3 linked regions of the Oryzias latipes genome follow. Each later gene encodes a partner of the first gene's protein in a complex. Links are inferred from orthologs where the notes say so. Each region holds a gene or a part of one and is shown on either strand. Other genes may lie near its edges.

The links.
Region 2: the proteins of siah1 (region 1) and usp19 are in contact, whole or in part, in a crystal structure (PDB 4X3G), measured with the Homo sapiens proteins. The link is inferred for Oryzias latipes from reciprocal best matches to the Homo sapiens genes SIAH1 and USP19. Residues at the interface, in NP_003022.3 of Homo sapiens: Cys130, Pro131, Thr156, Leu158, Gln159, Asp162, Ile163, Val164, Phe165, Leu166, Ala167, Thr168, Leu172, Val176, Asp177, Trp178, Val179, Met180, Asn276; in NP_006668.1 of Homo sapiens: Lys463, Pro464, Thr465, Cys466, Met467, Val468, Pro469, Pro470, Met471.
Region 3: the proteins of siah1 (region 1) and cacybp are in contact, whole or in part, in a crystal structure (PDB 2A25), measured with the Homo sapiens proteins. The link is inferred for Oryzias latipes from reciprocal best matches to the Homo sapiens genes SIAH1 and CACYBP. Residues at the interface, in NP_003022.3 of Homo sapiens: Leu158, Gln159, Asp162, Ile163, Val164, Phe165, Leu166, Ala167, Thr168, Val176, Asp177, Trp178, Val179, Met180, Asn276; in NP_055227.1 of Homo sapiens: Lys59, Pro60, Ala61, Ala62, Val63, Val64, Ala65, Pro66, Ile67.

Annotation. Positions count from the first base shown.
Region 1 is NC_019864.2:25,280,387-25,289,923, reverse strand, and holds siah1 (E3 ubiquitin-protein ligase SIAH1), read left to right. Parts: upstream 1-668; 5' UTR 669-1,591; coding exon 1,592-1,709; intron 1,710-3,218; coding exon 3,219-3,275; intron 3,276-5,642; coding exon 5,643-5,824; intron 5,825-5,891; coding exon 5,892-6,188; intron 6,189-6,410; coding exon 6,411-6,782; 3' UTR 6,783-7,936; downstream 7,937-9,537. UniProt on the Homo sapiens protein: E3 ubiquitin-protein ligase that mediates ubiquitination and subsequent proteasomal degradation of target proteins.
Region 2 is NC_019865.2:4,250,354-4,261,006, forward strand, and holds part of usp19 (ubiquitin carboxyl-terminal hydrolase 19), read right to left. Parts: coding exon 10,572-10,653; intron 9,921-10,571; coding exon 9,587-9,920; intron 9,377-9,586; coding exon 9,220-9,376; intron 9,131-9,219; coding exon 9,059-9,130; intron 8,985-9,058; coding exon 8,869-8,984; intron 8,325-8,868; coding exon 8,083-8,324; intron 7,975-8,082; coding exon 7,782-7,974; intron 7,175-7,781; coding exon 7,041-7,174; intron 6,398-7,040; coding exon 6,239-6,397; intron 6,160-6,238; coding exon 6,049-6,159; intron 5,956-6,048; coding exon 5,845-5,955; intron 5,750-5,844; coding exon 5,648-5,749; intron 5,559-5,647; coding exon 5,418-5,558; intron 5,337-5,417; coding exon 5,218-5,336; intron 5,132-5,217; coding exon 4,988-5,131; intron 4,477-4,987; coding exon 4,121-4,476; intron 4,042-4,120; coding exon 3,931-4,041; intron 3,839-3,930; coding exon 3,622-3,838; intron 3,305-3,621; coding exon 3,152-3,304; intron 2,616-3,151; coding exon 2,449-2,615; intron 1,928-2,448; and 2 more. UniProt on the Homo sapiens protein: Deubiquitinating enzyme that regulates the degradation of various proteins by removing ubiquitin moieties, thereby preventing their proteasomal degradation. Stabilizes RNF123, which promotes CDKN1B degradation and contributes to cell proliferation.
Region 3 is NC_019875.2:24,406,517-24,417,869, reverse strand, and holds cacybp (calcyclin-binding protein), read left to right. Parts: upstream 1-4,875; 5' UTR 4,876-4,988; coding exon 4,989-5,006; intron 5,007-5,880; coding exon 5,881-6,091; intron 6,092-6,188; coding exon 6,189-6,285; intron 6,286-6,364; coding exon 6,365-6,464; intron 6,465-6,803; coding exon 6,804-6,898; intron 6,899-7,944; coding exon 7,945-8,107; 3' UTR 8,108-8,840; downstream 8,841-11,353. Other genes in the region: mrps14 (28S ribosomal protein S14, mitochondrial), read left to right, coding at 2,702-2,770, 3,706-3,870, 4,058-4,240; serine/threonine-protein kinase PLK3, read left to right, coding at 9,509-9,724, 10,558-10,665, 10,755-10,871, 11,222-11,351. UniProt on the Homo sapiens protein: May be involved in calcium-dependent ubiquitination and subsequent proteasomal degradation of target proteins. Probably serves as a molecular bridge in ubiquitin E3 complexes. Participates in the ubiquitin-mediated degradation of beta-catenin (CTNNB1).

The sequences.
Region 1 (9,537 bases):
GAATTCAGGGTTTCTGCGTTGGCATAAAGGAAACTTTAATGTGCACTGAAGCCAAGATGTTAAGATGTAGCAGGAGAATTGTTTTCTCACAACACTGTCTGCTAGCCACTGGCAGGTTTGACTGCAGACCTCCCAAAAACTGCTGCCTGAACATCCAGACAGAGATTTTGAAAGCAGACACGCTCCGTCTTTGATGCAGCTGCAGACGTGTTTGATCTCTTATCAGATTTGTGAAAATAACTGAGTCTGAGGGGGCGAAAAAATCCTTCCGGCTTAGCATACGGTGGGCAAGGAATTCCACAGATTTGGTCCATGTGGAAATGAAGCACAAAGAAAAGCTTCTCCTCTTTGTCCTCTCGTGAGCAGATGTTGACTCTGGGATGTGCTGCATCTTCAGCATCGATGCTCCGAACGGTAAACGCTGAGCGAGCTTTTCACATACCTAGAGTGCTTCTCAAAAACAGGAAGAGCACTTTGAGAAGGTGAGACGCTGCTGTAGAGTGTGTAAGTAAGTTATGCTGAAGAGCAAATGTGAGCCAGAGAACGCAGCCCTGTGTTCTCTGGCTCACATTTAAAACGTGGACAGAGGAGAAACGGGCTGCACTAAAGGAGAAAGGAGGTATGAAGTCAGAGGGGTCAGCTGGTGCTGCAGCTTACAGCTATACCAGCTGAAATCTGAGACTTGCACAACCACAGTGAGGCGGAGGGAGGGGGCAGAGGGAGGAAGAATGTCCAGCCTGGAGAAAGAAGGCAAACTGCAGGCTTTCAGAGGACACGAGGCTGCAGGAGCAGCAGGGAGATGCAGCTGGAGCTGAGCTGAGACATGTGAGGGCTGAGCCTGCAGAGACAAAGATAAAGACTCGCGCTGGATGCGGACTTTAGCTCTGTGTTTCAGACAAACACAGCCAGTGGCGCTGACACCGACCACGCTCCCCAGGACAAAGAACATCACTGAAATCCAAACCGAGAAGAAAGTGAAGGGGGAGACTTCACACTGGATTTTTTTCTTCTTCTTTCATTTCCTCTCGGGGAGCCAAGGTTAGGTTTCTGAGCTGGGGCTCTCTTGTTTTGAGGATTTTTCTTTTGCAAACTTGCACTTTTTTTTGACTCCTCTTTCTATACCTGCTAACCAACCGCCCCGTGGAATGTCAAATAGTTCCTGAGTGGAGAAACTGGATAATTACCCAGTGTTGGTGAAGCTCTAATGACTCTCCTAAACTGCCTCCCGTTTCCTGTGCAGACTGGCGAGTTGATTAACCCTTTAGCCTGCCTGGCTGCTGTCCGGGCTCCTTCTGTTGCTTCTGCAGTGGAGTCGCTCAAACACCCTGGACTCTGACGTTTTCCCGCTGTTAAGGATCTGCTGGTGTTTGTTTGGACACAACCCTCGTTCTGGATCTGCTGCAGAACTCCAGCCGCTCAGAAGCTTGTACTTTCCAAGGGGAGAGGGGTGGGGGCGGGGGCGGGGGTGGCAGGAGGGGAAATATGATCCAGTATTTGGAGGAATGCGTAGAGCTCCAGCAGCAGTGTGTGGTTTCCATGGAAAAGGCCTGAGCAGCGTGGCACAGAGGGGCTGCATACATGCTTTACCTCTATGTCTGTGGTCCAAGTGAAATCCAAGCAGACAAGTGTAGCTCCACAAGCTCCACCCTGGAACTCCCTGTTCAGGCTGCTCTCATGCGTAGCAACCAGGAATGTGCACAACACTAAAGGTGAAGCGCGTCGATCCTCACCAGCTCCATGTTTCTGCCCAAGGTGGCTTGAATTGGCACTTTGTGTGCAGGGGGCCGTGTTGGCACACCGATGCTGTGCGTGACGTGGGCGAGCACAGAAGATGCTTTTAACCGTTTCCCTGCGTACATTATGTTGCACTGTTTTAACGTGGATTAACGTTTGTGTTGAATCCCCCTTCACCTGTCCTGATGTTCCTCTGTTTAGTTTTGTCATTCAGGATATTTAATTTCTTATCATAGAAGAGAAAAGGGAACGACGGGAATGTTTTCTTCACAAATAGCACTTTTGAACATTTATTAAAACTAATTTGCTTTTTAAATATTCATTTTGTGTGTTTATGTTTTGGTCCTTTAAGGGCCTATACCAGGCTCTTCTTAAGCCTTTTATAGTAAAAAATATATATATCCATGTATATGATGATATATTTTGGGACACAAAAGAACATTTCTTTTAAAATTAAATATTAGTTATTTTCCTGAGTTCTTTTCCAATCAGGAAGTAGGACGACTCCATCTCTGAGGCTCCGCCTCTCGCTCTGTGATGCACAAAAGATGTTCTTGTTTTCTGTCAAAAGATTCATCACATAGTTGAAGGATTCAATATATACAAAAAAATGTACAATTTGTATTTACTCAACATTGTATTTAGGTTTCTGCTTGGTTTCTTAAATAACATCAATTAAAAATAATAATAATTTCCAATCTTTTGAGAAAAATATCCAATCTCTTAATTAATGAAACTATTTCTAGATTATATTTCTTCAGCTTCTAAAAGGGAAATGGTTTTCTTTTGCGATGCGTTTAAAGATTGTTGAGCCTCCATGAGGTTCATGGAGGCAGAAGCTGTTGGTGAAACAGACTTTTTGGTCTGTTTGCAACCAAACCATTGGCAGAACAAAGACAGGAAGATGTTTATGGTTTATGGTTTCCTTCATCGTTGGTGTTCACCTTCACGCCCCGAACCATCGATGGTCTTATCCGTCTACCTGTTCCCACACCGTAGCCCTGTTTTCTGCCTATGTTTGTAGACGAGACGGTTTATGTGGAGATGAATTTTTAGTTTCAAAAAGCAGCTTCCTGTGTTTGCGAGTTCTGTTTCCACACAGAAGGAGACATTGTACGTCGTTTTAACAGAAACCTCAAATCAAATGTGATGCAATCGTGTCCAGGAATAATTTGCTTTGTGTAGATTTTGTTCAGCTGAAGACAAACGGGTTTCACTCGTCAACCTTTAGTCCAGAAATGGACCAGACTTACTGAAATATGAATGAGTGGCTCTGCAGCAAAGCGTCCACACAGCAGAAATCTAAAGTGAGCACGCTCTGTGTCCTGCCCATCAAACACCGCCTCGGCGCCATCCGGCCCTCACGTCTGCCGGAACATCACAACAATCCGAGCCCACTTCTGTGTCTGACTGGAGAACAAAGCAGAACGTTCAGAACCAGCCTGTCGGGTTCTCATGTGCACTTCCTTTGTTTTCTCTTTCAGAGGTCCAAACATTTCAGGAGCAGACAGAAGCCTTATTTGGAAATCTTATGGACGAAGGTCAGTCTGTCTTGTCTGTCAATCTGTCTGTCTGTCTGTGTCTGAGTGGATCTGTTGGGGATTTGCTTTACATTTACAGGATCGATGGCAGCTTTGTTGGTTTTCCCATGTCTGCTGTAGTTTTGTGTGTGTGGGCTCAGACCTTTCTGTCGGGCTGATCAGCCGTCCCGCTGCAGGGCCCGGCCCACGCCGTCTTTATCTGGCAGCTCCTCGTCAGCTGGCACCGGGCGTGCCAACTGAACAAGTGATGCTATGTTTATCCAACACTGTTCAGCTCCTCGCTGCCAAAACGCCCCGACAGCAGGACCCACGACCGAGGTCCTTCCAGAAACGGGGCCCTGCGTCAACCCACCTAAGCCGAACCACTGAGTGCCTCCCAGAAATCTGATGTTTGATAACTGAAACCTCTCCCTCCAACGTCTTTTCACTCTTCTCTGCTGTCAAGCAGAAGAGAGTTTCAGCGTGTGACCTCATCGCTGCACTGGAACGTTCTCCTCACACAAACGCTTTCTGTCCGGCTAAAATAAGAACTTCTGTTTGGAGTAAACTTCTGCAGAGTGTTTGTCACTCACATGTTGGAGGCACCGTCTCAGGTTTCCCTTCTGTGTGCCGTCTGTAAACACCCCCCCCCCCCCCCCCCCCAACACGCACGTCAGAGATTTGCATCCTAAGCCAAATCAGTCCCACTGCTCCTGCTAGCATGCTAATAATAACTGATTAGCTAACTTCATGTTCAAGGATTTTTCATCCCTATAAACCATGATGACATCAGAAAACATCAGACATGTGTTCTGTGGTCTGAGTTCTTCTGGGTAAATAAATGTCTTTCTCCTTTTCAACACAGATCTTGAGTGTTTAAAGAGCCTCGAACTTTATTAACAAATACAGAGCTGGAATTTATGTTCAGTGTAGAAAAAGAAAAAGAAACATTCCTACGGTTGACGAGAATGTTGAAACAAAAAAAACAAGCATTTGTGGTACATAAATCTAATCAAGTGATCAACAAATCTGATTGAGATTTTTATTGATGGACGTCGGCGAGCATCCCTTCATCATTCTGTCTGCATCTTTTTTTCCCTAACAGTAGCATCCTCATCTCTGCTTTCTGTTCTTTCATCTGAGGGAACATCTGCACAGAACTGTGCTGTTCCCAAGGCAACAGACACAACATCACTGCTAAACTTTGAACACAACATTTTTTGTCAAATAGTGAAAACATTTGACTGAAACACTGACGTAAACGGCGGTAACATGTTTCTGAAATCTCTCCTCTTATACTCGAGGATTCAATTAATTCCAGACTTAAAAAAAACGGGAATTTCTGCTGTAGCTTTTGATTTTTATGCCTTAACAAAATGTTTAAGCTTAGAACCATTTTAAAGCTGGAATGAATGGAGTTCTTCCGTTTTATTATCTCTCCTTCACTGTTTTTCATTTTAGTCATCTGTCTCTAAAATAAATCATTTGTTAACCCTGGAACACTTTTGCTACAACAAGTCCCACCGTCCTTGTTGCCGGGTCATTTTTTCCCCAATATAATCATCCCAGCAAAAAGTACCAATCATAAAAAATAGATCAAAACATGACAACATGTGTTAAATTCAAGTGGTTTTCCTTTATTTTTATCTGTGGAATGTGTAACAAAATGAAAAAAAACAAACAAACATAGGATTTTTCCTAAAAATATGCTCAAAAATGACAGAAAAAATTGGGAATTTGAGAACAAAAAATGTCTAAACAATGATCCTAAAAACTTGGTCTTATGGGACATGTGAGCCTTCCCTGGTGAGGCGCAGACTGCTTGACACGTGACTTATTGAAGTTCATGGAAATAGTTTTGCACGGGTGAAAATCACCCTGCAATAGTGCTCTAGGGTGGAACTAGCATTTTGAACTTTTAATTCTTCATTTTGATGAATAAGCATCTAATTGTTTCCTTCTTTTTTTAGCATTCCTATAAAAAAAGTTTCACTTTTTCACAACAATTTGAATAAATACTCAAAAATGCCATTTTAAGCTTTTTTTTATGTCTTTTTTATCATCAGACGGATCCCTCAAGAAAATGTAAAAAAAAAAATAAAAATAAAAAAACTTTTTGTCAGAGTGAATCATTACCCAAGACATTCCTGTGTGCATTTTTTGTTGATTATCTAACTGGTGTAATGCAGCGTTATTTAAATATTCAGTACCTTATATCTGCATCTTTTCAGCTGATGTAGCTTCTCTCAACATTTATCAAATTTACTGCCAAAGGTTTGAGATTTTCTGTTTGCTCCTCATCGTTTCTGAATATTCAGATGAAATCCGTTTCAGATCTTCCCTCATCAGACCGCGCTTTGATCTCGGCTTTGTTCTTGTGTTCCTCAGAAATGAGTCGCCAGACCGCCACCGCGCTGCCCACTGGAACATCCAAGTGCCCCCCCTCTCAGCGCGTGCCCACCCTGTCGGGCACCACCGCCTCCAACAGTGACCTGGCCAGCCTGTTCGAGTGTCCCGTCTGCTTCGACTATGTCCTGCCCCCCATCCTCCAGTGCCAGTCGGGACACCTGGTACGTGCGAGTGAGGCTGAAGACGGACGTTTAGGAGGTGACACTAACGGGAGGTGCTCTGTTCCAGGTGTGCTCCAACTGTCGGCCCAAACTCACCTGCTGCCCCACCTGCAGAGGCCCGCTGGGCTCCATCAGGAACCTGGCCATGGAGAAGGTGGCCAACTCCGTCCTCTTTCCCTGCAAGTACGCCTCGTCAGGCTGCGAGGTCACGCTCCCCCACACCGACAAGACGGAGCACGAGGAGCTGTGCGAGTTCCGACCGTACTCCTGCCCCTGTCCCGGCGCCTCCTGCAAGTGGCAGGGCTCCCTGGACGCCGTGATGCCTCACCTGATGCATCAGCACAAGTCCATCACCACCCTGCAGGTGAGGCGCAGACGCCTTTGAGTTTATGACGGAAAGCTTCAGCTGCTGCCGCCGAAGAACAAAAGCTTCATCCGGTTGGAAAATGTTGTTTTAGGAAGAAACCTGGATTTACATTTCATTCAGTTGATCAGAACTTCTTGTTCAAATGAGTTTTAAAAGATCTGTTGCTGACTGGAGGCGGCGTGAGCGTCTGACTTGACCATGTCTCGTGTGTTTGCTCAGGGGGAGGACATCGTGTTCCTGGCGACAGACATCAACCTGCCCGGCGCCGTGGACTGGGTCATGATGCAGTCCTGCTTTGGCTTCCACTTCATGCTGGTCCTGGAGAAGCAGGAAAAGTACGATGGACATCAGCAGTTTTTCGCCATCGTCCAGCTCATTGGGACCCGGAAGCAGGCCGAGAACTTTGCATACCGGCTGGAGCTGAACGGGCACCGGCGCCGGCTGACCTGGGAGGCCACGCCGCGCTCCATCCACGAGGGCATCGCCACCGCCATCATGAACAGCGACTGCCTGGTGTTCGACACGTCGATCGCGCAGCTGTTTGCAGAGAACGGAAACCTGGGCATTAACGTCACCATCTCCATGTGCTAAAAACTCTGGGCGGGGCCAAACTCCTACAATGGTTGAGGCGTTTTTTTAAAAAGCAGGTCAAAGGGGTCGTGACCTCAGTGCCCTCGCCCACCTTTGTCTCCCCCGTTAACCGGACTGTCAGTCCAGCCATGTGTGGAGGAACGGGGGTGTCTGTCTGCCGTTATGGTTTTAGTGTCTCTTTCTGTTGTTGGCGCCCCCTTCAGTCCTGTTGGGACACTACAGTTCTGGAAGGAGCGGATCAAAGCTCCGGACTGATTCCTGCTCAGTGCTGAGCTAGCCGACCAGCTAGTTTTTGTTTGTTTCGACGGAGGACTGTGGCTGCTATCGACCCGCTCAAACTGGAACTGAGTCTATCACAGAAAACCTCGTTTGTCCTCACCTATAACTGACACGACCTCCGGCAGGCGGGACGACTGTAGCGTCCCACCACAGTCACAGTTCACCGGCGCTGGTCCGGTCTCTTCTGTTCCGTTCGAGTCCAGCCTAGGAAAATGCATCAGACGCTCATTAAACGCTCGACAGTAGTCAGACTGAACGGACTGAAGCCCAGGATGTACTGTTTTTGTTTTCTCAGCAGCATTTGCCTGTGCGTCCCCACACGGCCCACAGAGAAGGAAATCCACATTTCACCCGTCTTTCCTCTGTGCTTTTATTTTGTTAGTCCGTTTGTTTTAGACATTTTAGTTCCTGGATGAATGGCTGTGTGTGTGTTTGTCGTGTGCATGTTCGTACACCTTTTCTTTCTCCTCCCTGCACTCATCTCTGCGTCGCCCAGCCTGGAACACATCCCTTCCTACAGGTGAAAATGTTGCTATCATGATTTTCATTATTTTGTATTGAATTCCAAAAAAAAAAAAAAAAAAAAGAGAGAAACAAAATTTAAAAGGCAGTTGTTAAACGTGTGGCTAAACTTCAGTGTTTGTAGTTAAACAGAAAAAAGAGAATAGCGTTCTCGTTCTGAGGGTTTGTTTTTCTCCAGTGTTGGGTTGTTTTCCTCCGTCTGTTCTCTGTGTGGAAAGTTTTTTTTTCTCTGGGAGGAGGTGGTGCAGGTGGTGCTCCTCCGCCTGCAGTCTCAGTAAGTTTGCTGCTCTCCCTCAAGCTCTAAGACTTCTTTCTGTTTTCATTTGTCATTAAATAAATCTATCTTTTTCATAGCTGCTCCCTCTTCTTTCCTGTGTTCATCCTCAGCAGCCTCGTTTGTTTCAGAAGGTTGAGGGTTTGGACGCGTCCTGCCGTTCCTTTGAGGGGGAATTGAACCTCCAACACAGCAGGAGGAGTCAGGAGGACGCTCAGCTGTGGAAACGACGGCTGTGTCTGATTCCCTCCCTTCTAAAAAAAAAAACTTGAAACTGCAGGACTATGTAGTGGTCTGGATTGTAAAAGGAATTCTGACGCCATGTTTACTATTTTTTATTTTATTTTTTTTACGATAAATTACTTACTTTACTTACTTTTCTTTACATACTGATTTCCCAGAGTAAAAACCTAAAAAGAATGAACATTTATGAACCCACTGTGTTCTGATGACTTGGGTTATAAAATTTCATTTTCATAACCTTTTTAATATGAAAAAGTAATTCAAACGCATTGCATTGTGGTCCTTATTTGCCAATCTAGTGAGTGTTGATGCACACACTTTCTATTTTTATTTTTTTTTGGTAGAGACTTCTGGGATATTTTTTAGGGGACTGGATTTTGGAAGTGTGCATTCAGGCAGCTCTACAAAATGACAACTGCACCACATGAGCGGCGCCTCTCAAACGTTCTGGACTAAGTCAGGATGACATCACCCTTAGAAAAGTCTGGCCCCAAAAGTCGATTCAGTCCATTTTTTTTCGCTATATGGATGCTGCCATGTTGGAGACAGAAATCAGGGATTGGTCCGAGTTGGTCTGAGTCACTGTTTCTATGGCAACCACTCTACCTAATCAGAAGTGACCTTGTTGGAAGTCCACACCCATAACCTATTGGAAGGGGACTTGGAAGAATCTGTCAATGCTTTAACCCTTGTGCTATCCTATGGGGTCCAGATGACCCCACCCTTACATGGACGTGTTCTCCCTACCATGACAAAGGTGGAGAGGATTTCATGTAATCCATGGACACCAGTGAAGATCACAAATCATTAAAGAGAAAAGGTTCAGCGCACTGTCTAGTGGGTCTAGATGACCCCACTCCCAAAGTTAAAGTGTCTAGGATAGCACAAGGGTTACATTTTGGAGGTGGGGGCTAACAGGTATCACATACTTTATTTACGACATCTGATTCGTCAGTTTAACTTGCAATAAAGAAAAAATATTTGTAACCCTTGTGCTGTCCTAGGCACTTTAACATCTAGACCCACCAGACGGTGCGCTGAACCTTTTTTCTTCAATGATTTGTGATCTTCACTGGTGTCCATGGATTACATGAAATCTTTCCACCTTTGTCATGGTAGGGAGAACACGTCAATGTAAGGGTGGGGTCATAGGGTAGCACAAGGGGTAGCTGTTTATTTCTCAATAGGAGTCTATGGGATTTGGCTTCTTGGAGCCAGTATTTACTTCCTGTTTAGAACGTGAGGGGGAGGAGTCACTCATACAGTCCATGGAAGTAACACTTCCAACTGATTTCCCAAGGAGAGTCACAGCAGCCATGAGAAGCTGATGGGGGCGTGGCTATTCTGCATCGTTTCTCCTTCTTAAAGTTACATTGATAGAAAATCTCAGTTATAGTAAACAATTAAAAATAATTTATAAAACACTATAGGAATTAA
Region 2 (10,653 bases), on another chromosome or scaffold:
TCCTGATGGACGCAGGCGTTTCAGGGGAGGAGCCATCCCTGTTCTTTTTGAACGGAACTCGCTTCCGGCCGAACGTCCCGGCGTCTGGAAACCATCCGAGCCACCAAACGGCCCGAGACGACTGACAGGAGTGGACTAGGAGCTTTTTGTAGAACTCCTAACTAGACACTTTTTACACTTTTCTCTCTTGCTTAAACCTTTAAAGTTCAAACCTTTATAGAAAATTAAGGAATGAAGAGAAAGATCATGAAAAATTGAACTAAAAACAAAAATCCAAGAGACTGTGAAAGGAGATCCGCGAAATAGCGATGGAACACAAGTACGTAGTGTGTGTTGAGGTTTTGATAAATATAGGTCTACGTGACAAGTTGCTGTCAATTTGAGTCTAGACACCTTTATTTACATTACTACATAACTACTTGTTATGTCCATCCATTGACTGTATATGAGAACTGGACTGAGTGACCCCCTCCCCCCTTGGCATCCCAAACAGGAAGTACCCCACTGGCTCCAAAAAGTCAAAAATCCCATAGACTTCTATGGAGAAATAAACAGCTGTTACACAGTCATGTTTTTCTTTGATTTTGATAATTGTTGCTTTAAGAATATAAAATACAAAGACTGCTGTAGAAAATTTAGAGTTTAATGTCAATCCAATGGAAAAAGGTTTTTTTCAGCACATGTCAGTCTGTTCTTTTATGAGTGAAAGTTGTAGGGTTTATGAATGTATTTTAAATCTTTTTGCATGTTTTTGGAGACCTTTAGCGGTCGCGCCAGGTACTGTTGTTCAACACATTTATTTGAATAATCTTTATTGAAAAGAACACATGTAGAAACAGAAAGGATTCGCTAGCATGCACGCACTACGTTTGTCAGTGGAAAGAATTTGCTGCATACGTCTCAATTCAGAGGTTGCCAAAAACTAACCCTTGAAACTTGAAAAATAGTCAAAAAATACCAATATGTTGAATAAAAGACCAGGTTGTCACACGGACAACCAGCAAGTTCATTTTTGGTTGTCCTCCGTGAACTCAGGTTGTCTCGGACAACCGGATAACAGCTTCTTTCGAACGCTGTTGGATAAACAGACCAATCAGACGCCTCAATAACAGTAGGCGGCCTCGCGTCAAACGTTCAGAGCGTTCAAACCGTTTTCAGTGGAATGGGTGTGGCCTTCTAACATGCTTGCTCCTGTTTGGAGAGTGCTTGCCATAGAAATGTTGAACCCCTGCTTACTGAGGTGACCTGGTTCCACTATAGCGCTAAACAGATCGCGGAAAAACAGCACTTCATTTGGTGGGAACCATTGTCTATGGGTGACATCACACTCGTTCAGTCCAGTTCTCTTATACAGTCAATGTGTCCACCTGATGCACTTCTGGAGCCAAATTTCATTTATTGGGACTTGAGAAAGCTTCAGAAAAGAAATGGTAAACTCTAAAGACTCATTTCCATGTAAAACGGCATCGTTTCCGCTGTCGACTCCCCAAACCTGAAATGACGGAGCGGTTGTACATTGAAGGTGGAGGTAGCGTGTGCATATCCCCTATTGTCTTTACTTGCTTTTAAACCCAGCAGCAGCTGCTGTAAAGGCCTCTTAAAGATAAATCTTATGATCAAATATCCTTAAACTGTTAGGAGACGCTGAAGTGAAAGCTGCTGTACATTTCCAACGCGGCAGCAAATACGGCAAAAGTGCAGAGAAAATCCTGAGATTATGAAGCCAGATGATTGAAGCCTCAGTGCCTCACCTGGCTGGCAGTGGCCCCGGCGCCAGAAGGTGAATCCGCTCCAACAGGTCTGAGGAAGCGTGGCGGCCGCTCCACGGGGGAGTTCCGGCGGCGGTAGAACAGGACGTAGGCGTATCGCGTCACCACCTGGCTCTCCTCCACCATCGTTACGGTGCTGTCGTCAAACAGTCGCCACCCTGCAGGACCACAGAGACGCACGGTTAGAAGGTGCCGCTCATAAGCTAGGTGACAAGATTAAAACCCGTTAAGAGCACATGTGTCAAACTTAAGGCCCGCGGGCCAAATGTGGCCCGCCATAGTATTTTACATGGCCCACGAGAGCATAAAGGTTTTTAATTTCTTGAAATAAAAAGATAAATATTGGTGTGTATTTATTCATATTTAGGGGGAATCGGACTTGAAATATCTGATTGGGCAGCTAAACATTAGGACTTAAACACTTTCCATATAACCTAACCTGACAGAATCTAATTTAAAAGGATTTATGCTAGAGTAACAAGCAAACGTATGTTTTCTATGCAACTGTAATCGTCCCTATAAAAAAGTCATAATAAATAAATAATGAGTTATTTAACAAAGAGGAGTAGTTACATTTATTTTTCAGTACGTTTAGTTACATTTAGAGGTTATATCTGGCCCTTTGAGGACAGCCACTATGCTAAGTTTGTCGCCCCTGCTTCAGAAAGCGCAGCCTCACCAACATCACTGCGCTGGCTGTTCTTGTCGCTCGGCAGTCGAGCGTACGCCGTGTAGTGACCTCCGATCATTCCTCCATAGTGGTTGATGACAGCGTACAGGTCATAGATGGGGGGTTGCTGCATGTCGTCCTTTTGGCCGATACAGAACTTGCTCAAATCTAAATTTCTGGAAAACAAAATCATGTCACTTAAAGAATAAAAAATGATGAATGGAATGGAATGATCCAGAAGGTCTTCAACACACAGGATTTGTTGAAGGGACAAACAACTGAGCGAGCGTTACCCGACGGTAGGGCTGCACGATATGAGGAAAACTCGCGATATGCGATATTGGTGATTAATATTGAAATAACGATATAATTCGCGGTATATAAACAAATAGCAAAACAACCAAAAACATCATTTCCATTTCACTGCAACAGTTTAAAAATTATACTCCAAATGACCCTCATCTACATAGGAGGCAAACATCAAACATAAAAGGGCTCATCTGATTGATCAACAACGTAAACGGGTCCTTCCGATTGGTTAAATGCATAAAGGGATTTATTTCATTTGCTCAATATTTCAAGCTGCCATGAGTTTGTTTTGGCACATTTAAGGTAACCATTTATTGCGATTTTTGCCGTCTTTTGCGGTATGCATATTGCACAGCTTGATGTCGCGATAACAATAAATTTGCGGTATATTGTGCAGGCCTACCTGACGGGGAAATCGACCATGTCGTTGATCTTGTCCCTCCAGATGAAGCTTCTGAAGGAGAAGCGCTTGAGCTGGATGATCAGAACGTTGGGCAGACGCCACAGAAGCAGCTGCTTTGAAGCTTCGCGGTGCTGCTGGCACTTGGGACAGTACCTAAGCAGATGCACACAAGGAACAAAAAAATGTTTAAGAAGAGACTCGTTTGTATATTAAGGCCTAAAATGTGAACATTGTCTACTTTAAAAGCCTTTTTTTCAGAGGAAAACAACTTTTCTTTTCCCAAATTTACCATAAAACATAAACATAAATGATTGTAGTCATTTCCACTTTACAGATATTTAAAGTTTTTTGTGTGGATCATTTTAATTTAGTCTGTCCTATAAGTTTTTGATGGAGCAGGCAGGACACATGAACGTCCCCTGGAGTGTTTCTGTTCTTCTCGTCTTTAACAGCAGAAGCCGGACTCCTACCAGGCCTCCTCTGGCGCCAGCACCTCCGGCTTGGTGAAGAGATTCAGGCACTGCTCGAGGGTGAAGTGTCCCGCTCTGGCCGTCTCGCTGAGGGAGCCCGGGTCCTCCTCGTACTCCAGCTCCTTGGAGCTCACCAGCACGTACTCCTTGAGGCGCTCGTTGTTTTTCCACACCAGTTCCAAAGTGGCATCTTCGGGGAGATCCGCCAGAGCGTCCTCTGCAGAGAGGGGGGGGGGGGGGGGGGGAGGACAGTTGGTAAGTAAGGCGGTTTGAAGCTTCTGTGGAGGCTCTCGTGGATTCTGGCAGCACCTTTCTCATCGAGCCTCTGCTCCTTGTTGTTGGAGTCCAGCAGTGCGATGTAGAACTGACTGGCGTGACCAGACGCAGATTCACTCGAATGCTGATACCCCGTTACTGCAGCTACATAGGAAAAGACAACTTTTTTTTTCAGGTTGTGCAAATATAAATCACAAAAACAGATTTTCTATTAGCGTTTTACCTTCGGGTCGCACCGTCTTTTCACAGGATGTCTCCTTTTCTGCATGGGGGTCGAGAGAGCAGCAGGAGGTGGAGGAGATTGACTCTGAGAAGCCTGAATCTTTAGTCCGGGAGGAGGACAGCGAGTCTGAGACCTCAGGGTGGATCGACGAGGCCGGAGCAATGTCTGCCAGGGATTGACTGTCCAGCTCCAGATCCGCCGCTCCCACTGAACTGCTGCCGCCCACGGCTTCATCCCCAGAACCAGGAGCCTCAGGAGAGCTCGCCGTCATCGGTGGGAGGTCAACCCGGGACTGCGGGGTTTCAGGAGATGCTCTGCCCGACTGGAAAGGAGGCTGGAACACGTTTACTGAAAACCTGCAGAAAGTCAGGAAGCCTTTTAAGAGATGTGGGTTGATTGGAAAAATAAGTTTTTATATTTGTAATTGATGAAAATGTGTTTGAATTTTGATACAAGTATCAGCAAAACACAGATTTCTCCCAAACCAAAAAGGTTAAAAAAGACAACAACAAATACTTGTAAGAAAACTTTGAAGTGCCACTCAGATCATCTTTGGATCTATTTTTAAAGCGTTACCGGTGGTCTCTAATGGCGAGCAATATTGGAGCTAACCAGCCAAACCGTTCCGATCCAGATGAGGAAAACATAAATGGATCTATTTGTCTGTAAGTGGATGCATCAGACAATAATTTGATTGAAGAAATGCTCAAAAATGACATTTTTGTCGGAATTTTCTTTTTTTACTTCCTCAATCATCAGAAAAATGCCACAAGAGAAAATAAAAAACACAATTTTCATCAGAGTGAGTCTTTAAAATTGAGGTTGAATTGATCCACTTCACAAGCAGTTTTCTGGCAAAGTACGTACCTGGAGTAACCTTCCAGCAGCTGGGCCAGCCTGGCGTAGGAGAGCCGAGACTCCGGCACACTGACCATGAAGGGCAGGCCCACGTTCTCAGAGTTGGGCCGACACAGACCTTTGTGACTGGGCCAGTGCGTCTTCTGACAAACTCTGAAAGGAGAAGAACGGGAACCACCCACGTGACGATTCTGACTTCTTCACAGTGGAATCAAGAATAAAACGCCGGTGCTCCTCACTGATTGCAGTAGCCAACTCGATAGCAGCGCATGCAGCGCTTCAGCTTGTCTTCTTCAGACACCGGAGGCTTGAGGCAGGCGGCGCACTTGGAGATGGGAGTGTTGGGCACCTGAAGTTTCTGGAAGATGATCAGGAGACCATTGAGTTTCTGCGGCTGTCCGTCATGCAGGAGACAACCCGAAAACAGCCCATGTCCTACCTGGTGCACCTTGATCAACAGCACCCTCTCTTTGGCTAGATCTTTGGAGAGCAGCTCAAAGCAGAACAGCATGTCTGAGGGCGACACGGTGTCCAAAGACTGGGACGGCAGGAATATGCGCTGGAAGCGGTTCTTGCTCACCTACAAGAGGAAATTTCCTTCGATTCTTTGGACTAAAACAAATTGTGATTTTCTTTTTTATGGAGCAAAAAAGACACAAACTGACCAACCTCTGCTATTCTGAGGTTCTCGGGTTTGACCCTCACGCTCCTGGAGATGGATTCCAGCACCTCAGCTGTGCTGGAGTTCTCCTTGCTCACGCTCACCAAAAACTAGAAGAAACCCCCAAAAAAAGCAGGAGTTGTTTGCACCGTTTCCAACAAAAGGTAGAAGTTCAGGAAAACCCACTGAAACTGACTGGTCTCACCTTGATGGGCTTCTTATGAGGTTCCTTAGCAAAGAAGAAAACGGAGAGAACCTTTTGCTTTTGAGGAAGGGGAACAGGCAGGTACAGGAAGGGGTCAAAGGTGATGGAAACCTAAAAAAAAAAAAACAAAAAAAAAAACAGGCAGAATGTCAGACCAGGTGAAGCAAAGCTTGTCCGAGTCTCTTTGTAGGAATAGCACATTACCTTTGAACACATGGGACACACGAGTTTGGATTTGAACTGGCCTTGGAAAAGGTCGACAATGAAGGAGTCGTTTCTCATCTTGTGCCTCTGCCACGCCTCTTCTGCCACCACCTAGACCGACAGATGAACAACCGCCAGGTCAGAGCGGATTCTGACTGAACCCAAACCCAGATTCCGCCGCCGTCACCACCTCATCGAGCCGTCCGTCGGAGTCCACCGTCTCCGTGTACGGTTTGTTCTGGATGCGGTTCAGGTCTTCGTGCAGCCCGTCCAGTAAGAACGCCATGAACTCCTGCGCGTCGTGCTGAGCGTAACCCGTGAACTGACTGGCTTTGCTGGCCACGATTGCCTAAACGCAGACAATGACCGTGTGAGCGGCGAGATCAAAAGGAAAACATTTACGAATTTCAAAAGGAATTTTTTTTTTTGCTGGAGATTTTTTCAAAAGCTCTATTTGAGGAAGATTTGACATCATTAGTGGAAAAAAGGAGCAAAACATGATTCTCGTTCTATTTTAAACACAGTTTCTTTATTATTCTTTTTCCTTTTTTAAACATTTAATCTAAATAACCATTAAATAAATAACCATAATATCCATTCTTGCTCTGATACATTTTTTCAACATCTTCTTGATAATCCTCTTTTTATCATGGTATTATTCTTTTTATTATTTATATTATTATTCAAGTTATAAACTGACCAATCAGATGCATCAATAGAAATAGGTGGAGCCTAATGGTCCCCACAGCATTTAAAACATTTGATTGACATTTCGGGCAGCCCGCTTAAGTGATAGGGGTGTGGCCTTCCAACAAGCTCAATCCTGATTGGTGAAAGGGATTAGCAAGGAAAAGTTGATTCAGACCGACTATGCTTGCTGACAGTTTTTGGTTCCAACATGTCATATACTGCGAGACAATGGCGACGGCATTGCCTTCATGTGGTTGGAGCACCGGTCCAGTTCTCAGATAGGGTCCGTGGTTCTGGCTCACCTTGAGTTTTGAGGGCTGGAAGGCGTGATGAGTCCCTTTCCACAGAGCCCTGAGCAGCACGGCGAAGCCGATGGCGAGCCTTCCTCCGGTTCCCAGAGGGTTGCTGCAGTTGATCTCAGCCTCAAACGCTCGGTCTGGAAGGACAAAGGGATACAAATTTAAATGACAAAAAAAAAATGTAACATGGTCAAATGGATGATAGATTCTACAGCTTTGACTCAATCGTGTTCAGCCGTCACAGAAAAAGCATTTTCCAAACTGCCATAAAAAGGTCACTTCCGGGGTTGAGGTGACCTTCATGTTTTCCGGTTCGAACACTTCAAACTATTTGATCCTCACAAAGATTCAAAGTTTTGTTTTTAGACATTCGAGATTCTAATCAATCAACAATCAACATAAACTACATTTTTTTTCACAAAAAATACAGTATCAAAAAATGCAAACTATTTGATTTAAATGAGCAAAAAAACTACATAATATCAAAGTTTCAGTCATTTTAGTAAAACATTTTTTCCTTTATGAAAGCTTGTGTGGAACTCTGTCTGCTGCATGGTTAGATCATTTGACTATTTTCAGGTGATTTTCTTCTTGAGGTTGGAGTTCCTTTCCTATTCTTAGTCTTCCTCTTTTTGGAGTGAAGCCTCAAGCTGAGGTAAACCTGGCTGACGGACGGCCTTTCAGAGTTCTCGCTAAAGCTCGAGCTCGTTTTTACGGAGGCGAGGAAACATGAACTTTGTTTACCGTGAAAGTAATCCCTGAGTTCTCTGGTGTTCGACAGGGACTGGATCACACTGTTCATGAAGCAGGTGTTGCCCAGGTTGACCAGTCCCGTGAAACCGGGGAGGCACACCTTCTTCTCCTCCTCCTCTTCGTGGCGCTCGATGCTGGCAGGAAGGCTGTACGTCATAGGCTGGACCATGCAGGTGGGTTTAGGCTGAAGCAGGAGGCAAGAGTCTGAACGAAATGTCTTATTTAAACGAGCAATGAGCAGCACTTTCCTCAAAAAGGAGAACTGCTCACCAAATGTTCACTTCGTACTCACCGCGGTAACGGCGGGCTCAGATTTGGTGATGGCAACGTGTTCAGAGACGGAGCGAGGTGCAACGCTGTCCAGAGCCCCTCCCTCCACGCCTCTGTTTGAGGCCTTGGGGGCCTTGGCCGTCTCCTCCCCAACTCTCGGGGGCTCCTCTTTGGCAGGGAGGCTGTGCTGACTGCTGCCTGGCTGGCTTTTGTCCATGCAGGCGGGGCTGGAGGCCACAGCCACCTTAGCACCACCCACTGCACCTTAAACAGGAGGCAAGAGCTTGTGGTTAGAAAAACGGAGCCCAAAAATGGAAAAAACTGCCTTTTTGTCGTCCGCTCCTGTTTCACAACAATTTGGATACAGAAATACTCAGAAATAATATTTTAAGGTTAACATTCCTCCACCATCAGAAAAATGTCACAAACATGTAATTTTCATCAGATATAAAATAAAAAGACCACTGGGATTGCTTTAAAAACAGCTCAAAAGGGTCTCTCACAACCAAATAAACGCAAAACTTTACAGTTGAAGTGTTTCTGCCTCTCTGTATTTGAACTGAGTTTGCTGAAAAAAGAATTTGACTTTATCTCAGTCATTTTCTGAGTGCGGCACATGCTTAAATAAAGTCAAAGAAAAACCAGCATCGCTTTAAAATAAAACCACACATTTCCAATAAAAATTCTAAAATGTTTAGCGTCAGCAGGAATCCAAACGTAATCTGCAAATTTTGATGGAAGGGTTTTGGGATTCGTGAAGGCTTGAAGAGTCGGCAAAAGCGGTCCAAATAGAAGCCCGGCAGCAGACCTTGTGAGGCTGGAGCCAGGAGCCCCTCCCAGCGCTGGCTGTGCCTCTTCTTCAGGGTGATGTCCAGGCGGGACGGGGTGAAGGTGTAAGTGCACTGCTCAGGCTGGATCAGGTTCCTGGAAGACAGAACGGACTCTGGTCACGCCTGAAGCCAACGTTTCCGCTCGTTAGCTCGGGGAAAATAACTTACCTGAGTTTGACCTGCCACCTGAAGACAGTGTTGGGTCCGCAGTCCGAATGAAGATGCAGAAAGTTAACGTCGCTGTAAAAGAGAAGATCAAGCTGGGTGATCCCTTCCCGCTCTGTGTTGGAAGACGTTGTGGTTTACGAACTTTGTATTTATGACCGGACCTGGTCTGGAAGATGAGGGTAAAGTCCTGCTCCCTGAAGATGACTCTGGCAGTGTCCCTGCAAACCCCTTTGATGTAAACATTAACCACCATCAGATCGGTGCCCTTCTCGTACGAGCCGTTCTTCACAGACTGCAGGTTGACCATCGGCTCTGGAGCTGCACAGACGAACACATCGGGAAACTCACATTTAGCGCTGAACGAAAACCAACAGATCAAAAGCTTCCTGAGCCCTGATTGTTAAGATCTCAGTTACTAAAAACCAGGTAAAAACATTTCTATCAACTGTTTTCTCAAAAACAGCTCAGAGGATGAACTTGGATGAATGATGCTCTACATTTTGCAGGAAACCAAAAATCCCGGCTAACCTTCCAGCGGACTGATTTCCAGAGGAGGCTCTTCCTTTGGCCGATCCCGTTTCTCTTCTCCATCACAGCTGTTCTGGATCAGACCGGCTGCGTGGCTCTGGACCGCCTCTGTCGAGACCAGCTGCTGCTGGATCACAGGACCCGGCTCTGGGCTAAGCTCGGCGGGTTTCGCCGCCACCTCGGAGTTCGTGCACTCCCTCTGCTTTCCAGAGGCGGAGTCTGCTTCTTTGTTGAAGCAGACGGGTTTGAGGCAGGGGCTGGTGCTCTCAGGAGCTCTGGGCTGTTCGTCTTTAACTTGTGCTTTTACTCCGGATCGGTTTAATGACTGGTTTCTCTTTTGGAAGAGAAAAAGAACAAGACCGAAGTGAAAGTTAACCAAAAGATTCTGCGTTGATCTCTAAAGACGACCGACTGATGTTTAAGGCGGTTTAGACGTTCAGCTTTTTAACGACCTGACTGGGATTTGAGCCTTTCCTGAATTAAGAAAGTGTAAACTTTCCCTGCTGTCTTAGTTGTCTTTTGTTCTGCCATTTGTTCATGTATCACAAATCATAACTTTATCGCAATATTGTGAATTGTCCTCCCAGCCCATGCTTTTTTTTTAAACATTTTTATGCATTTTTGGGGGTTAAATCTATACTTGTTTGATTGTGTTATAAAACATAAAACCAATTTGTTCTCAATGTTTGTGATTTTTGCAGTTAGAAAAAAGACTAAATTAATTACACCGAATTGTGTTTTTCATATAGTTTCAGATTTATTGTTAAGCTACTGTGTAATAGAATGAAAAATATCACTAAAAAAAAGTAGCAGGGGTTATCCTAAAAAGAATATCAATGACATAAAACTGCTTTAAAAGCCAATTGTTAAGTTATAAAAACACTAAAAAGGCCCCGGACTTCAAAGAGTTAATATTTAAGTTTAACGCCCAGGTTTTTTTAAACTCAAAGTACCATTTTTAAGACGGTTTTTGAGCAAGTCTCACCTGGGCTCTGTTTGCAGAAGAGACTTCAGGTCCGACTTCCTGACCGGTGAGTCGCTCCTCTGCTCTGCTGTTTGTGTCTTTG
Region 3 (11,353 bases), on another chromosome or scaffold:
GATTATGTGAGTTGCGCTTGATTTACGCTGACAAGTTCCCAGTGCACCATCAGGTCAAAAAGGTTCGTACCCAGTATTTGAAGGCCTAAATCGTAATACTCCAACAGAACAGAGAGGACAATAAACTAAAATATATTCTGTTAAGAAACCTCTAGAATGGTAGTCATTAAAGAACTCATTTTTCATTAACAAAATTTCCTGCTAGACAAGAAGGAAAATATGCAGACCTTTGTTCCAAGCACATTTTCTGCCCATGTGATATTTCATAAAATAGTATTAATATCTGATAAGAGAAAATATATATTTATCTCCTTTGGTAGCATTTTAAGAGTGGAATGAAAGACCGCATGAAGGCTGAACATGCTGCCTTGAAACCCTTGTGCTATCCTAGGCACTTTAACATTGGGAGTTGGGTCATCTAGACCCACTAGACAGTGCTCTAACCCTTTTTTCTTCAATGATTTGTGATCTTCACTGGTGTCCATGGATTACATGAAATCTTTCCACCTTTATCCACCTTTGTCATAGTAGGGAGAACACGTCAATGTAAGGGTGGGGTCATCTAAGGTAGCACAAGGGTTACTTAATATGATTACATTTCTGTTTAAATGTATCATTAAGAGAGTGCGTGCATTTAAATGTTGTGTTTTTGCACACGTGCAGTACACAACCCATTCAGTTAATTTGCTATCACTGTGGAATGGAAACTGGAAAATTACATTCATTATATTGCTTAGAAAAGGTTGTCATGATCATATATCCCACTGTGAAGCTGTAATTGTTGATCAAAATATACTTTGGATTTCATTCTCTGTCGAAGCCAACTGGCCCCACGTGTGGAGGAATGTAAACGTATCTTCTGAGAGAGTGAAACTGTGCATTACTTGTTTGTTTAGTCTGTTCTGCAAGATGCTGTGGTTTGTGACCTGTCCTTCCACCCTAAGTTACATGGTGTCACGGTGCTGACCGTCCTCACTTGACTGCTGTCAGTTTTATAGATGAGGTTAGCAGTCTGAGTAATCTCCGCTGAACTCACAAACACACCAGTCTGACATAGTGTGACTTTAGTGTAAAAACGTCTTTCTGAGGTCTTGGAACATCAGTGCACAATTGTGGTGTAAGATTTGAGTACAAGGTACTTTAGTCTTGGACCTTGAGAAGTCCCAGTTTGGGGAAATGTTCTCCTTTGAACATTCATATGTTTTGAAGCCACAGCGGGATGCTTGAAAGCATCAAACGACACATCCTCAAAGCTGCTTGTTCTGTCTGTGTACAGATGTTCTTTGTATTTTGTCTGATGCTGTTGCTGAATTTAATCAGATAAAGGATTGTTTACCCAAATAGGGCTTAAAAATAGGGATAAATCAAAAGTTTAAACCAAGGATGCTGAAAGGCTTGCAGCAGAGAGGTACACTTTTAATCAACCACAGCAAAACCCAGTTCCTGCTTTCAAAGGTTTAAGAAAATTTGTCGAAAATCTCTTGTTTCTCTGTCCTTGAGGGATGCATCTAAGACCCATGGCTGTCCTCAATATTTACATAATAAGGAATAACTTCACAAACTTCTGGTCTTCTTGGTGAACCCAAAATAGTTCCTTTAAAAGTCTGAACTGAGTACTAGACCTTGAGGAACAAAACAACAGCAAATAAACTATATATTATTCTAGACGATGCCGTTATTTTTTTAATTTTAATAAGAATATTTGTCCATTTCAAGAACCAGTAACTTCCTTATAAAATATTTTTTGCCATTATGGCAAACTTAAGTCAGACATTTAGATTTCATTTAAATCCAAATAAAAAAAAATATTTGACACGTTGCTACATCCTCAATGAAAAGTGTAAAATGTAGTCAGTTGCAGACAACAGAGATGAACTGGTTTCTCTTGTTCAATTTTCAAATTCCTTTGCAGCTTTTACAGCCACAAAATGTTCCTTTTTATAGAGGAAGCACTCCCAAACCTCATGTGTTAATACTTAACCATGAACGCATCCCCTACAGGCTCTAAAATAACGAGAATTGTTTAATAGAATCAGCTTCTGTTGTTTATCTGCATCCATGTATTTTTTTTTTTTTTACCCTTCAAGGTTTTAAAACAGCTGGGCATCCTGCTGAAGCTCAGATGTTTGGGATTCTGTTGGATACCAAATAATACCAATAATAACAATAATAATAATAATAATACGAAACTGCTGAATTTAAGTTTAATGAAATGTATTTATCATTTTTTCATTACAAAATTATAATAACTTGAGATTTGTGAAGGTTTGAAAACAGAAGCGCTACACTGCCACCTACTGGTAGGATTGTCACATTGGTCTTGTAATTTTTTCTTATCTTCACCATAAAATGTGTTGTTTAAATGTGTTTTGACAAGTTTCTATCATAGTAAAGCTTGCTTTCCAATTCAAAACATTAAAAAGAAATGTAGAATCAACATGTTTTTATATGTTTTATATTCCCACTAAACCTAACTTAATAGTTGAAAATTGAGCTATGACTATCAATAAAAATTTAAGAACATATTATTGGTTAGTGTGCATTTTTCAGACATATTTTACCGTCATGGTTATTTAATTCTTAAAGATTACAACGGCTCTGGTTTTTGTTGTGCGCCCTCCTGGTCGTTAGGTGGCGACACTTTCAGCCTCACCATGGTCATATCCTGCTCACGTCGTGAAGAGGACACTCTTAAACCAATATGGCGGCCCGCCGGCTAACATGTTTGGGGTTAAATGCCGTTTATTCTACAGTCTTCTCACCAAATCAGGTAAAGGTCACGTATTAACGTTTTGACCTATGTTTTTTTTTTTTTTTTGTAAAATCGCCCCATGTAGTTTCAAATAAAGGGTGCAAAAACTCTTTTTGACCTGGACTATGTTAGCTAACTCGGAGACATAAAATTGCTGCGAAATTTAACTTTAATAATAAATTCCTTTACTGTTCAAATTGTGTTGAGGAGGATAGACAGTAATTGAGAGTAACTTTATCTTAAAACTGTTGTAGAATAGAGACTGACATTTTTGTATAAAGTTAACATATTGTGAACATCGACTGACATTATTATGACCTCTCCCTTTGCTGCGTTTTCTGCAGACGGTACAGGCAGCTCTCATTACATTTCTGATAAACCAATTAGTCAGAGCCTGCGTTTGCATCAGGGTTCGACATTGACTTATCCGACATTATGACAAACATGATTAAAAAAAACACGTTAAGAACATTTATGGAAAAAGTAGAGATATTTGTATTCATTAAACCAATGATGAAGCAGTGAACCAAATACACTTCTCTCTGTCAGTGGTCAATTTGTAATACTAAATTTTATATTCTTGGTCTTAAAAAGCCTAAAACATTTACATTTTTTTAATCTTTTACATTACTGTTTTTTTAAAGATGGTCCGATTTACATGACCTACTATCTTGTTTTGGTGTACTCTATAAGCTGCTATAACAGTGTTAGTTTAACTGTGCCAAAGCAATAAAAAAAGAGATTATTGGACCACTTGTTTCAAGCCCGCAAAATGAGAAGGAATTATTTTTAAACTGATGATCGCAAACAGACTTCTTTTACAATATTTTGTCAAGCACCTCTTGCATTACAGAACTAAGATCAAGTGAAAACTTAAAACCAGAGAAAATAGATTGCAAATGTGTGGTAAATGGAGAGAAACCTGTCAGAAACTTGATGTGTGTTGTGTGCAGGCACTAAGAAGCTGCTGGGGAGCTGTGGAGCAGATGAGAAGCTATTATGTTGACTGGAGGATGCTGAGGGACGTCAAAAGAAGACAGATGGCCTTCGATTATGCAGATGAAAGGCTACGGATCAATGCATTAAGAAAGAATACTATCCTGCCTAAAGAGCTTCAGGTAGGCTCCAGCTTCCTATTTACAACTAGTTCCTCATTGTGCCACACCATAAGTTTGACAGTATGCTCTTATTATTTAAAGAGTCACGATTTTACAAAAGTTCTAGTTGCACACACAATATATGTCAAACAGCTGAAAGTACACCAGTAGCGGACAATCCCTAAACCCTGTCTAATTGTCTTCATAGGAGATAGCAGACAAAGAAATTGCAGCACTCCCGAGAGATAGCTGCCCTGTGAGGATACGCAACAGGTGTGTGATGACTTCCCGGCCCCGAGGAGTGAAGCGGAGGTGGCGACTGAGTCGAATTGTATTCCGACACCTAGCTGACCACAACCAGATGTCAGGGATTCTCAGGGCAAGGTGGTGAATGTGGTCTATTGGATTCGTCTGTAAGATTGTGTGTTAACAAAGCAATGCAGGTTGCAGATTTCTAGAATGTTGTGTGAACTTAAAGAAGTAATGCAAATATTGAGTATTTAAGCTCGACTAAGAGTAAAAAAAAACAAAACATAATAAATATTGTTGTACAAAAGTGTCCTGTTTTTTTTTTCCTTCTTTTTTATGTGGTGGTAATAAACACAAACACTGTGTTTATTGTGGAGAAAAATGCTTCTGAATGATCTACTGATGTGAAAAGTTAAAGCCATCATTAAGCATTCATGTGCTGTGTAATTTTCAACACGGCTGTTTGAAGCTTCACAGTGTTATTAAAGGATTAATTTATGGTGTTTAATTTGAACATGATGGTATTTCTAAAAAAAAATAAATAAAGTGTCCCAGTGATACAAGTTGCTAAATGTTTTTGTTGTCAGGTCATATACTCACCCTAAATAGAAATAGCTGCTTTAAAATAAAATAAAAAATAACTCGTGAGTATAAATATTGCCACTAGTAATTTACAGTACGTAAAATCTGCTAAATTTAAAATAAATATATCTTACTGTTGTGTATTGTTCTGATCTTACTTATTCCAACCACTGGGTGGCAGTAATGAGATTAAAGGAACTTTTAACAGCAGGAAATAATTCTAAAGAGGGCCAAACCAAATTGTTAGAACTCCTCACTGCGAAGAGCTGTGCTGCTTGACAAAACTGAGTGGAATTTGAAGAACCAGAATGGATCTAACGGAACAGGTAAGAAACATGTCTTGGCCAAAGTATTATTTTAGAAGAAAAAATCATTGTCTATTTGGATGAGTTTGTTAAATTTACGTCGGTCTCAATAGTTGGGCGATGTGTTGTGTTAGCTGTCGGTTAGCCGCTTGCCCTTAACGGATTTTTTTGTATGCTTTGCTTTGTTTCTTTCTGTCTGTATATTTTTTTAGACGATTGTTTGAAAAGCTTGTTTAGTTTGTCACAGTGACAAACGTTGAGGGCGAGAAAAGTCCCTGTGATGATTGACGTTCAGTTGTGCTCATGAAGTTTACTAGAACCTTCTAGCAACATCACGCTCGCGGGTTCTGCGCTACACTTCCTTCGGAGTTGCTTTATAGCATTTTAAATGATAGAAAAACGATTGAAAGCGACAATATCTCAATTCCTATTGGATGCTATTGAATATCCTTACTCGTAAATGTTGAGGTTTATTTTATTATATGTCGTGATAATTAAACTTAAGTCATAATAGAGCCATGCTTTGCTTTGGTTTTTATATTTTGATTAAAATCATGTGAGTTTTGCTTTTAATTAATGCTTTTTTATGTTTTTAGGTGAATTTCTTAATCATGTCTTTGCATAAATGTGTTTAATCGAACAGTGTACGTTAAAACATTTCCATAAGGGACTTGCAGATCTCATCATTAGCAGTTCACACATTTGAATTGGTTCTTAACTGACTTAAGTAAAGGTTAGATGTAGAATTTCCAGTCAGGAAAATGAAACTTTTAAATTGTACTGTTTTAGAAGAAGCTATATATAAGTTAAATAAATAAATAAAACAGACTTGATACAAATAGTTTGCTTCATCAAGATCAGCTTGTGCAGTGGTTGTTCCTCATTTTTCTAACAGATCAGTCAGCTGGAAGCAGACTTGCAGGAGCTTAGTTCCCTCCTGGAGAAGTCTGAGAGGAAAAGGGTGCAGGAGCTGCTGAAACAGGAGCAGAGGAAAGTGGAAAAAGAGCTTGCAACGAAACGACATCAGCAGGAGCAGCAGGCTAAGAGAGAAGCCGATCCAACAGCAGGCTCTAAAGCACCATACACAACTAAAATCACCAACTATGGTATGGAGCATGTTTGAGAGATTACAAGTGTTTGGAACTAAAAAAAAAAAAGAAAGATTTGAAGAATTGTTTGTGGTTTTATCTTTTGTATCTGTAGCATGGGACCAGTCAGACAAATTTGTTAAAATTTACCTGGATTTGAAAGGTGTTGACAAAATCCCAGCAGAAAATGTTGAAGTCAACTTCACTGAAAGGTAAATCCACTTATCTTACAGTTTTGTAAGGAGCATTCATACATTTTTTTATGCTAAGCCTAATTTTGTCTTGGTTCAGGTCTTTCTCTGTTTTGGTAAAGAATCTAAATGGGAAAAATCACCAGATGTCAGTGCTCAACTTGTTACATCCAATTGATGAAAAGGACAGCTACAAAAAGGTGAGTCACTTTTTCTCTTGTCCTTTAAATGTTCCTCCAGTGTTTGTTTGAACCAGTAGCACCATGTTTTTGTTTTTGAAAAAAGTATTCTTTGCAAAATTTGGTACCAAAATGTCAGCCCCCTTTTTTTTTCTTTCTTTTTTTATCAAAAAACCTTCCCAGTTTTCATACTCTTCCGAATCAGCAAACAAAAAACCAACAAAGGATTTTGGAACCTAAAAATTTGCTCACTGAATTTTTTGGATTACATATCCATTTATTCGGCATATATGTCCCCTTTGTTTTTACAATTGTATTTTTTCTATGTCACTAATTTCTTACTACTTTTTTTTGCAACAGATCAAAACAGACATGGTCTTGATCATGTGTAAGAAACAGGCCACAAAGAAGTGGGACTGTCTAACAGCAGTGGAAAAGCAGTCCAAAGAAAAAGAGTAAGTTCAGAATAAACCTCTTTTTTAATAACTAAATGTGTTTTTCATTAATGTTTAGCTGGAAACACAACAATGTTTGGCCAGTTTAATGTTGGGCAATATAGAGGAAATGTATTTATCAAGTCAAGGTTTCTACATAAAGTCTAAAGAAAAAAGTCATTATAAAAAAGGTCTGTAGATTTTTACAGGAGACATAGATTGAATAGAACAAAGTTGCTGACATGTGAAAAGGTGCTTCTGATGAATGAAAATTGGATAAAAGCTAAATTACAATCCTTTGTGAGAAGACTAAAGCACTGGGTCAACTCAATTCAGGCTCTGGTTATGCTTCAGGACAAAAAAATTTTATCATATTTTGTTTTTAAATTAAATCTTGAACCATTTTATATTTATTTTTACTACATAGGAGTATTAGTTTCTTATCAGAGACCTTTATTATTTAGTTTTCCTTTTGAAAAATGTCCTAAATGTCCTGTTTTTACAAGTTATCACAAATCAGAAACAACTACCACAAACAAGCAGCATTGTTTTGTTTTGTTTTATTGCCATTCTCTATATAAAATCTACAGACATTTTTAGCAGACTTAGAACTTTTCATTTTGGTGTAGGACCCAGTAAATTTAAGACCTTTTCCCGAACTATTAAAGTGGAAGTTCAAGAAAAAAAGAGGCTATTTGTAGCCTCATTGGACCTTTAAGGTGTGGCAGATAAATATAGCAAAACAAAATAACACAACTGCCCAGAAAATGTGTTTTTATAAGTAAAGTAACATTATGGGGCCTGGTGCCAAGTGACCCACAGACTGTTACCAGTCTGTAAAGATACGCTAACCTGATTCAATGACCAATAAAATAAGGAAAATAAAATTAAGTGCCATAACACACATTAAAGCTGTAAAAGTGGGGAAACTTCAAGTTTTTTATTGAAATACTTATCACACATGTATTAATTCAAGGATCTTCTCGGGGTTGATAGTACATGACCCTTTCCTTGCAGCCGTGAAAATATTCCCACATGAATGTTGTTGTTTTTTTCCCTCTCAACAGTAAACCCAGTGCTGAGGATAATGCAGACCCAGGTGATGGCTTAATGAAAATGCTGAAAAAGATTTACGAAGAAGGAGATGACGAGATGAAGAGAACCATCAACAAAGCTTGGTCAGAGTCCCAGGAGAAGAAGTTTCGAGGAGAGGAAACGATGGACATTTAAATTTTGCAGTTTTTGTTTCGATCTTGAGTTTAAAAGTTAGAGTTAAAGGATCATATACCTAATGTGATGCAAACATGGAAACATTTTTGTCTGGCACCTGAAGTTATTATGGGCAGAAAGGAGTTCTGTCCACCAGATGGCGCTAAAATCAAACCTATCATCTTTTGGTTTAAGATCTGAAGTAATGGAAATGTAATGTTAGATCAGATATCAAAGACGTTCCATCTTGTTCCTAAAGGGTTTTTCACATATGTAAATGTACTTTTTATTTTATGGTAATTCTATAAATGGATCAAATGGGTTTCAAAGACACTGATAAGCTTTTATTGCCATAATCCAAATTATTGCATGAGTCTGATAATTGTTGTATGTTTACACATCATGCTTCCACAAATTGGTAATGTGACCTGCAGGATTTCCACCATAGTCTGTATGTATGGTAGCAATAGTTTCATTTTCAATGGAAAATTGATCTCCTATACTGCTGAAATGCATTCCTCCAACTGAAGTTGTTTTTCCAATATTGATTTGTTCCAAAACTATTAACAAATATACCAGCTAAGATGAACTTTGTCTGTTTTTGTTACTTCTACATCCCAAAATCTTTATGTAATAATCAGTGGTCAATTATACTAATATATATTTATTCTTTTGAAATTATTTTATGCTAAAACATCAGTGTCATTTTACTTTTCTCCCAAAAACGAAAACAACCAATAAAATACTTTAAAACTAATAATGATGTATTTCAAAATAACTTAGTGTTGACTGCTGAGTCTTTATGTTTTAGTGTTTAAATTTATTAATTGATAAGTTAATTAGTATTTTTTATTTTGTAAATTTTTGTATTTTGTTTTGTAAATGAAAATCCTAGTTTTATTGGCACATTTTAGAATTCTTTTTCAGCTTTATAAAATAGAGACACAAAATGTGTGTGTAATCTTAAAGCTGAATGTTGTTGGTCTTTGGAAAACATGTCAAATTAAATCAAACTTTAGTTATAAAGTATATGTGTGGGCAGAAAAACTCGGCCTTCTGCATAAATCTTTTGAAAATCAGATTACTCACAGGTAATTTATAGTAATAATGAAAAATGTGTCAGTGCAGTGGAGCCTTGGTCTCATTCAGTTTCCCTGGGCCTCTGATACATCTTTGAGGGAGATCATGTCAGGACTAATCATTTGTACTTTCTAGTCCTTTGCGTCATCTAACTCCGCCCCCGGAAGTGTGACGTCGCCGCTCTGTCTATATAGAGGGCGGTCCGCTTCAAGAGAGCCAGATGAAAACCGTCATTGCGGATGCAGGGAGTGTGGTTCTTCGTAGCATCCGCCGACAACTAGAAAGGGATTTAAAAAGAAAGAAAACGCGAAAAGCGCCAAACGACAGTTGTCTCTGAGTTTAATGGATGCCGGCTGTGTGACCGCGGCGCACCGTGTTTCGTGCCACACCATGAATGCGGATTTATTTAAGCCCACACCGGAGCGTGGACCCCACCAGTCATCTGGCACGGCGAAAAATGCCCGGAATAAACCCGAACAGAGCAAACCGGAGCTGGCTCAGGTGGTGACGGACTCCAGGACGGGGAGATCCTACAGCAAAGGGAAGCTTTTGGGAAAGGTACGACGATTTGAGCTATTCATTTCAGAAGAAAAACCACCCTCCATGTGCTGCTGACTTCATGGATGGATCTAGAATCTGAATAAATTAGCAGCTCTGCATTTGACGGTCGCTAGTTTGAACAAACGTGGTTCTTAATGAAAATCGTCATCATGAGAGGGTTTTTTTCCAGGTGTGCTGAGTGTCTGCCCTGTGGATTTGATCATTCTGCGTGTCATTCATTGCTGAGTGATTTAGGCGCAAGGTGTGCCCGCCTATTGTATTGTGCGTGCGCGCGCTTAGCAACGTCTCGTTACAACATATAATAAAAAAAAAAGAGACATGTCGGTGATTTTTGTTGTTTTTAATTTTTTAATTTTTACTTGACACCCATCATCAGACGAACGATTCACCAAACTGGCAGACGGCCCTTATGATGATGCACCACTGCGTCCATGAATGAATGAATGAATGAATGAATGAATCTACGTGTTGCTTGACTCAGAGCCAGATCTTTATATTTATTTGTTTACCCCCTCCCGCCCCCTGCTGCTGCTGCTGCCGCAGGGCTGAAAGCGTCTCCGTCATTTTCATGGTTAATGGATGCAGCAGCTTCCCTCTTAAAGGGTGGGAATATGGGGATGGGAGGGTGGAGGCTTGACCGAATCACAAGAAAAAAAAACAGTTCTCAATTTCATCTTGGACTGAATGATGAAATATGCTTTTCAAAGGCATTTTTACAGACTTTTATTAAGAACTGCATTCCACCTCATTGATTATTCCTCTAAGGCCCTCAATGCAGTTTTTTTAATTGCTGTGAATCTTTACAAATATCTTTTTCTTTTTCTTTAAAGGGAGGTTTTGCTCGCTGCTATGAGATGACAGACCTGTCCAGTAACAAAATGTATGCCGTCAAGGTGATACCACAGAGCCGAGTGTCTAAACCACACCAGAGGGAGAAGGTGAATTAAAAAAAGCAGCGCTTTGCATCTGTCGGCCCTTAAACTTATATATCCTGCCAGAAACTGACCAGTTGTGAAATGTTTGACAGATCACAAATGAGATCGAGCTGCACAGAACCCTGGCACACAAGCATGTGGTGAAGTTCTCCCATTATTTTGAAGACCAAGAAAACATCTACATATTCCTGGAGCTCTGCAGTCGTAAGGTGAGACCTCACAGATCTCTTAAAAAAATGGTCAGCTTTCAGTTTGTCTGGTTAAACCACATGCAGTGGCACATTTGAATTCTTTTGTTCCTGTTTTAATTTTTCTAGATTAACCAGACTTTGCTTCTGCTTTGGGTATTTTAACTCAGAAATTGTAGATTTTTATTTTATGCAGCTTAGACCACTACACAATTGCTGAACAGACCCACAGGATTAAAGTAGCCATGTGTTACAGCCAACCGCTCACAGACGCTCATCTCTAACTCTTTGTTGCTGCAGAGAAATGTCTGTGTTGCAGTCCCAATGATGGGCGCAGGTCTGACATTTCCCTCATTGCTCTGTCTCTCCAGTCCCTCGCACACATTTGGAAGGCCAGGCACACACTGACAGAGCCCGAGGTGCGGTATTACCTCAGACAGATCATATCGGGTCTCAAGTACCTGCACAACAGAGGCATCCTGCACCGAGACCTCAAACTAGGT